2 linked regions of the Tribolium castaneum genome follow. The protein of the gene in region 1 purifies or fractionates together with the protein of each later gene. This does not show direct contact. Links are inferred from orthologs where the notes say so. Each region holds a gene or a part of one and is shown on either strand. Other genes may lie near its edges. The genes, in order: Sec31 and yata.

What was found.
Region 2: the proteins of Sec31 (region 1) and yata purify together in Homo sapiens (affinity purification with mass spectrometry; 3 studies listed by BioGRID and IntAct, counting the BioPlex papers as one, with this or other methods). This does not show direct contact. The link is inferred for Tribolium castaneum from reciprocal best matches to the Homo sapiens genes SEC31A and SCYL1.

What each region holds. Positions count from the first base shown.
Region 1 is NC_087399.1:9,888,399-9,892,225, forward strand, and holds part of Sec31 (protein transport protein Sec31A), read left to right. Parts: intron 1-1,903; coding exon 1,904-2,265; intron 2,266-2,318; coding exon 2,319-2,381; intron 2,382-3,827. UniProt on the Homo sapiens protein: Component of the coat protein complex II (COPII) which promotes the formation of transport vesicles from the endoplasmic reticulum (ER).
Region 2 is NC_087396.1:14,146,383-14,150,867, reverse strand, and holds the start of yata (N-terminal kinase-like protein), read left to right. Parts: upstream 1-1,658; 5' UTR 1,659-1,795; coding exon 1,796-1,909; intron 1,910-1,967; coding exon 1,968-2,231; intron 2,232-2,285; coding exon 2,286-2,509; intron 2,510-2,559; coding exon 2,560-2,965; intron 2,966-3,014; coding exon 3,015-3,236; intron 3,237-3,284; coding exon 3,285-3,705; intron 3,706-3,757; coding exon 3,758-3,922; intron 3,923-4,485. UniProt on the Homo sapiens protein: Regulates COPI-mediated retrograde protein traffic at the interface between the Golgi apparatus and the endoplasmic reticulum. Involved in the maintenance of the Golgi apparatus morphology.

The sequences.
Region 1 (3,827 bases):
TTTCACTGAATTGTTGGCTTACACTACATAAATGTCAACAGTAACCTTATTTTCGAATTCATCTATTGAATTTTTGACTTATTTGGGACGATATGACTAAAATATGCTGAAAATATACTATTTTAACCAAATTGGGTGATTTTTCAGCTTGTTTTATGGATATCTCGTCAATCTTGTCATTAAATTTTTCACAGAATTTGTAACTTTTTTCTTACGGTTCTAGCGAAATTTCGTTGAATTCCCAGTCCACAATGAGTTTACACACTCGAAATAACAAAAATACTCGTAACACAATTTTAACGTTTAATTAATTCATTGATTTCTTGGCTTATTTTGGCAAGGATGCTGAAAATTAGTAGAAAAACTTAGCCTTTAGTAATTAGTTTAGGATAAAATAGACAACATTCAATACTGCTTATAAACAAATATGCACTAACTTTCAAAAAGTGTAAGGAAATTTCTCCAATATTGAAAAAAAAACAATATTTGGTTTAAAATCATTTTCAAACAAATTAGATTATTTATCGGCCTATTTTTTACGAAATAGTAATTACATTTTTGCTATGAGCTGTACTAAAATGCTCGAAAAAGTCTAAGTAATGTCATTTATGATTTACATCCTAGTGTAATTTATTAATTTCAGTAAATTACAATTTGGTGATTTTTTGCTCGGTTTTTAAAAGACTCTCATTAAATTGTTACCTAAAAAAAAGTGCTTACATGAAGTATAAAAAATAACACAATCATTTTAAAATACTCTTAGAGATTTCGTGTCATATTTTTGACGAAATTCTTCGAAATTTTTGGAAAACAAGAAGTTTTAGTGTCAAAAATGTCAATTTTTAAATTTTAATACATGTCACATTTGCTATAGTTTTGCCAACTTTATTTCAAAGTTTTAGAAAAAACTTCGAAAAAAGTAAGAATGAAAGAAATATTAAAAAAAGAAGAGATTTTGTCTTGGATTCACAAAAACTAATATTGTAAATTGTACCGATATGCCAAGTTAAAAAAATCTGACTTCTTTACAATACAATTTTTTAATTCAAATTTTGTTAAATATTTTTGCGCTATAAATCTTTCAGTAAGTGGTACAATATACTCATTAAAATACACTCATCTTATGGCATCTGCTTGCACATTAACTTCTCGAAATTTTAAAAACTGCATACTACTAAACATACCTGTTAAGCACTGGAAAAGTACACAACAAGCACTAATCACTGAAGGTAGTCCTATATTTCGGAAATTTTACTCAAGGAAATGTTGATTTTTGTTTTAGTAATAAATAACAATAATTTTATGTGGGGTCCGTTTGCGACAATTGCAAGTGACAAACTAAAGAAAATTAAACGAAATTAATTTTGACGGACCATCATCATATGATGGCCGATTAATTTACTTTTGTGCAACCGGGCATATGTATTTCATCTTTCGAAAAACTCGAAAAATATGTAATACATAATAAAAGAACACAAAAATAATATTTTTACTGCGTCGAAGATGGTATTTAGGACAAGAAAGAAAGTAAAAATTTTAAATTTGTCATGACGTTTCGATACTTTATTGTATCATCTTCAGGCGAGCACGCAAGGACGTTAACACAAAATGTCAAAAAATAATTACACAATATCCTGTAGGGGCAGTTTTGTTCAAAATTGCAAGAATTAATTCAAAAGGTTTTTCGAATAAGTAATAAAATAACACTTTGGGAGAGATTGTCAAAAATTCGAAGCCTACGATATTAAATTTGTAAAATGACTAGACAAATTCAAATTCGACAGAAAAATGCTCGATTTTTTCGAAATTTGAAATTAGGGATGGCCCAATCCTAGTTTAAGTATTTTACTAAAGTAACATATTTTTCTAATATCGTCAATTTAAATTTAAAAAACTCTTTCAGGTGGTTCTGGCACGGGCTTGCCTTCGCGTAAATACGTTCTGGACCCCTCTGTAACCTCCAACCCCTACGGAGCGCCTACGAGGAACATGTACGCCCCCCAACCTGTCTCCAACTTCCAGAACAATAACTATGGGGCCCCATCACCAATAACACCCTTGGTTCCTTCCAATAATAATTACGTACCCAATCCTGTACCAATGGTACCCAATCCACCACTCAATCCCACTCCTTTGGTACCAAATATCCAACCACCGCCGCCTATGACGAGCGAGATGGGCCAACCTGCCACAGAAAAATACTTTCCTTCTAGTGCCCCCGGCTGGAACGATCCACCTCCACTAAACAAACCATTGAGACCACAGGTAATAATAGTTAAGAATTTTTCAATTCAAGTCTATAATTTTTCTCTTGAAAGTGTTACGGTGATAATGTTGAAATGTCAGCAGTGCATGCTGGGACGAAATTATGGAAACCAAAGGTATTGTGTTGGGTGGCCAAAAATGTGTGATTTGATTGTTTTTTTTGCGCTTTTTATACCGCAGTTTTTTGACGGTAAAGAAGCTTTCGTTCTACAGGGCTATTCCTATTTATGTAACAATATTTGAATGACAGGATAATCTCTCGAAAACATGCAAAAAACATTAGTTTAAACCTAATTATTGGTAATTCATAATTAAACTTCACAGATTCTCAATAGAGACACTTATTCACAAAAGAGCAAGACGTAGGTATTTACTAACTTGTCTTATTATAATAGTTTTTTAAATTACATTTAACTGCACTGTCTATTTGCACTATGTTATAATGAAGACAGTTACTTTTAACTCAGTTATGATTAAATTTTGGTAAAATGAAATTACTACAAGGGCTCCCACTGCTGCCAGTGTTGCCAAGTGTATCACATGCATATTCTCAAACGAGCTGACGAAAAATTACCATAATTTTCTACGTTAAAAGAGAAATTGATATAAAAAATATATAAATGTAAAAAAACAGTTTTCTTTAGAATTTTTTCAGATTATTCTTTTGCATTGTCTTTGTACTCTTTTCTAAATTTTTCTGATTCATTTCTAAAACCGTCTGTAGGTCTAAAATCTAGACTCATCTTCCAAATTGTTTTATAAATCTCTTTTTAGAGTTATTTATAGATTCTTGTCTAAATTTTTTTTTTTGGAATTATTTTGTAGTCTGTACTCAAAACTCGTTTAAAAAAACTATAAAATAATAAAATTTAAAATAAAATAAAACACTATAAACAATTATAATAACTATTTACACTTTTTCTACATTTTTCAAATTTTGTTTTAGATTCTACTCTTCGTCTATTCAAAATTATTTTATAATTTCGTTTAGAATTTTTGTCATTGATCTGGAGATTCATTAATTCTTTTTTATTAGCTGTTCAAAATAAAATAAAATAAATACATAAAATAAAAACGCCAATGTTTCATTTTCTTTCAAAATTAGCTGTTATATATTAATTATGCATTTCAAATAAATAATAGCTGATGTATTTTATAATTTTTAAGTAGATTTAAAAAACTATCATTAAAAATCATTTTACAATCATTAAAAACTTTTTTACAGTTTTATCAATCTTATTTAATAAAATAATACGGAAATAGAATTTTTATTGTTTTGAAACAGCTAATAGTAGTCTTTATATCTGAAATTTAGACTTCTTTAGAATACACTATTTTATATTTTTTTCCTTTTACCCAAAGATAATTTACACTGATTTTGTTTTCTGTTTATTAATTACTCACATATGTCACATAATTATGTCTATCACGTAATTTTTTTTTATATACTCATCATAAGTTTTGAAAGTTGGTTCTTGATGTCTAGTTTGGCATTCATTATTTCTTTGATGAACTGATGGTTAAACATTTTATTTGCTTTTAAATGTATTCCATCTACGTTT
Region 2 (4,485 bases), on another chromosome or scaffold:
ATGCAGTTAAAGAAATCTAATTATTCTAACATGAAACAAATTCTATCAATTTTCAAGCAATGGAATTAGTTTTGAAAATTAAAATAAAAAACTCGAAAACGTTCTTTGTAATGTAACCAAATAAGGACTAGATTTTTAAATGTCTTCCTTATTTTATAAGATTTCTATTCGGATATCTATTAATCTATCACCCAGTATTTATTTAAGTTTATGTTTTTCAAAAAAAGACGAAAACAAAAATCTGAAACATTAAAAAAATTAAACCCCTTCTATTCTTTTTTTTTTAATTAAAATTAGGATATTTTTGCCGCTCTTAAAATACTACCGCCCTGCTTGGTCTATCTAAATATGCCACAGCCTAGTATGTTAACACTGAGTTGTTAAAAAAGCTGGAAAAAAAATTGACAAAGTTACATTGAACCATCCGTTAGGAGAATGGATTTGCGAATGATGAATAGTTTTTATTAAAAAAAAATACACACTAATAAAACTCTCTGGAAGTCGACTCATTAATTCATTAATTGGTTAATAAAGATTAATTTGAAAATATTTCTCCAATTGTGGATGGAAATAAAGTGAGGTTTGGGCATAATTACTATATTTCTATAATTAGATGCACGAAACTCAGTGGCTATATAAAAAAATTATATAAAATCGGTTACCCCGTGGCGTTACGTCATAAAGATTCGGATTATTCCAACCGTGGCCTTTTTCGCAATGGTTCTTCGTTTTCTTGTACGTGGTCCCGTTTTTTTGTTGTGTTCTACAAAACAGAAATTACGCAATTTGAATACTCCAAGTCCAGAATTACGTGCTTTTTTGTCCCAGTGTGTCTGCATGTATTTCAACACGATACTAGTTTTCTCAGTAACTATTACTAAAAGCAAAAAGGAGCAATAAATTGAGCTTTTTTCGAGGGTAAAACATACTTTGTTCAGATGGAAAATCTTTAGTCGGTACATACACCGAAGGTCGTTTTAAAGGGGACCTACTGTTGTTATCAACATGGAATTTGGTAAAATTGTTCTCATCGTAGGATGGGAGACCTTTAAGAAACTCAGCGACAGACTAAAAGTGCAAAAACTCAACGATTTAGCTTTTTACCCAAATCTGTACCCACTTACCATTTTGCCAGATGTAACACCTGCAAACTTGAGTTATACTTCAAACTTAAGCCTAATACCTTAAATTTACTCAGACTATTTAGAGCATCTTAGCTTTACTAATTCTAAGCCCTTAAAGCAATTAATTGCACAAGAGGCAAATGGAACATCCCGATAGAAGTTTACACTATTGTAACTTTACTAGTGGGCAATTGTTTATGGAAGCAACAAACAAAAAGCTCAATGAAATGCAGCTGAAGCTTTTTACGTTGCAGTAAAAAGCTTGAGAACATGAACAGTTAAGAACACCTTTGTGCGACTATCACCATATTTTGATTTTTTTACTTTGACAAGTAAATGACGGTTGTCTGTTCGCGAGAATCGGCGTCCGAGCGAATTCCCCAAGAACGATCTACATCAAATTATCTTGATCAGAACGAGTTCTAGTATTTTTTAACACTTACAGCCATCTATGTGGTTGTAATTAGTAATTGACATTAAATAGTTTATTATTAATTTTTTCGGTTGTAAAGACGTTCTCAAAGTTGTTCCATTAGCAAAACTAGTTTCCTCTTTTACCGGCCATTATGTACGACGTCAAAATTTGTGACATTTAGGTTAGATTTTTAAAACTTTGTACAAATTTCGTATAATTCAGCATAAATCCAGCATATAATCGCTAAGCTAGTGTCATGTGGTCATTTTTCTCCCGCGATCCTTCCAAAGACTTCAACTTTGAAGTCGGAGAGTTAGTCAAGGGGCTTGACGAACGGAGTGTATGGACTTTACATAAGGGCAAAAGAAAGGTATTGCAATCAAGATCTCTCGAATTTATTTAACTGTGACGAGTTCCTCGTGTTTAAGGGCACAAATGAGGAAGTTTCAGTGTTTGTTTTTGATATAAAGGGTGGATCAGAAACACAGTTAGAAATTGCCAAAGCGGCAGTTAAACGGCTAAAAACATTGAGACACCCTAGTATTTTAACTTATTTAGATAGTTACGAATCGGATAAGGTTTTGTATTTAGCGACAGAACACGTTGAACCGTTGGCTAGTCACTTAGAGAAGTTGACGATAGAAGGGGCTCAAAAGGATTTGTATATTGCCTGGGGGCTGTTCCAAATCACGGTATTGCTGTTGTGATGATTGCGTTGATAAATCTTTTAAAACAGCAATTTGTAGCGAGCTTTGTCTTTCTTAAATAATGACGGTAATTTGAGACACAACAATGTTAACATTTGGTCAGTTTTTGTCAATTCTTCCGGTGAGTGGAAGCTGGGAGGTGTTGAATATGTCTCAAGTGCTCAAGACAACTCCAATGTTACTATTAAAATCATACCATCGTTGGAAATGTACGACCCTCCTGAAAAAAATGACCCAACTAAACAGCGGTCAATTACGAAATGGTTTGTTTGATTATTTTTATTATTCTACGTTTTATTTGAACGTGTTGTAGTTCTGCCGATATGTGGGGGCTGGGTTGTCTAATATGGGAAGTTTTCAATGGTCCTTTATATCAACAGTCTTCTTTGAAACTCCTAGACAAGATTCCTAAACAGTTGGGTCCATTATATTGCGAGTTAGTTGGAGCGAATCCGTCATCAAGGCCTAATCCTGCCGATATTATAACTAGATGCCGAAAGCTCGGCGGCTACTTTAAAAACGATCTTGTAGACACTTTACTATTTTTAGAAGAGATTCAAATTAAGGACAAAAACGAGAAAAACCGATTTTTCTCAAACCTAACACCACACTTAGACAACTTCCCCGAAAGCGTGTGTAAGCACAAGATTTTGCCCCAGTTGATAACAGCCTTTGACTACGGGGACGCCGGATCTGCAGTTCTAGCCCCCATGTTTAAGGTATTTTTCTCCACTTTTTGTCCCCAAAACCCCAATTATTGTATCACAGTTGGGCCAACTCCTTGACGAAGCCGAATACCAGAAAAAAATCGTGCCCTGCGTGGTCAAACTATTCGTAAGCAACGACAGAGCAACAAGGTCCCGACTTTTGCAACAACTTGAACACTTCATCGGTCATTTGCAAGCTGCGACCGTAAACGAACAAATTTTCCCTCAAATTGCTCACGGGTTTATGGATACCAACCCCACAATTCGCGAACAGACTGTCAAAGTAACTTTTTTTCGTGATTTTGTTTTTTGTTAATGTTTAAACTTGCAGTCTGTGATACATCTAGCACCTAAATTAAGTTACAACAATTTAAACGTGGAGGTTTTGCGGCATTTTGCGCGGCTCCAGTCGAAGGACGATCAAGGGGGCATTCGCACCAACACTACGGTGTGTCTGGGGAAGATAGCACAACATTTGCATCCGCAAATTAGGCAAAAAGTCCTCATTTCGGCGTTTATACGAGCGATGAGGGATCCCTTTCCTCCGGCACGTAACGCAGGCATTTTGGCCTTGGCTGCGACGCAACAGTATTATCTTTTGAACGAAGTTTCGTCGAGAATTTTGCCGGCATTGTGTCAGTTAACGATGGATCCGGAAAAGTCGGTCCGGGATTCGGTTTTTAGGACGATTAAAGGGTTTTTGGGGAAGTTGGAGAAGGTGTCAGAGGATCCCAGCTTGAGGGAGAGTATGGGTAGGTTTTTTATTTATTTATTTTATGGAATAATGACGGGGTTGTGGTTTAGAGGCCGATGTCAATACTGCAACCCCGAGTCTAAGCAACGCAGCCGCCACGTGGGCTGGGTGGGCTGTTACAGCAGTTACAGCGAAATTCTACAGAAGTCAATCAGATACAGTCAAATCAATGAATCCTATGGCCAGTAAAATGTTAACTAAACCGGCTTCACTAGGTAAGTATTTACGCATAATTTGCGGTCATAAATAAAATAGCAAAAATAGTTTGCGGTATAGATTTTTCAGCGGTAGATTGGACTTTTTAAATATGTATCCCAAAAAACTTTAAAAGTACTCTTTCAAAACTACGGAAATGCCTACGTCCCATTTTACCGATTTTTTTTTAATAAAGTTGATAAAAAAGTTATTATTAATGATTAGATCTCTGTCATTCAAACTAAATTGAAACTATATAAATTAATTTTTTTTTAATTTTTCTGAAGTATTCGTTACAATTAAAAATTTAAAATTATAATTAAAAATGCTAGAAAAAAATTTTGGTCGTTGATTCATAAAGCAAATAAAATGCTCAAGAAGTTAAAAAATGTTTTTAAAAGTTTATAACTGAAATTTTGGGAAACGTTTGAAGTTAAGACACCAATAACTTTATTTAGAATTATCTTATTTTAGGCAAAAGTTATTTTCGAAGACAACATTTAGGTATAATATTTAATATCTTGGAGAAACCAACTGGAGTATCACTTACGCTCTTATTATCTTTGATAAATATTTTTGTGTT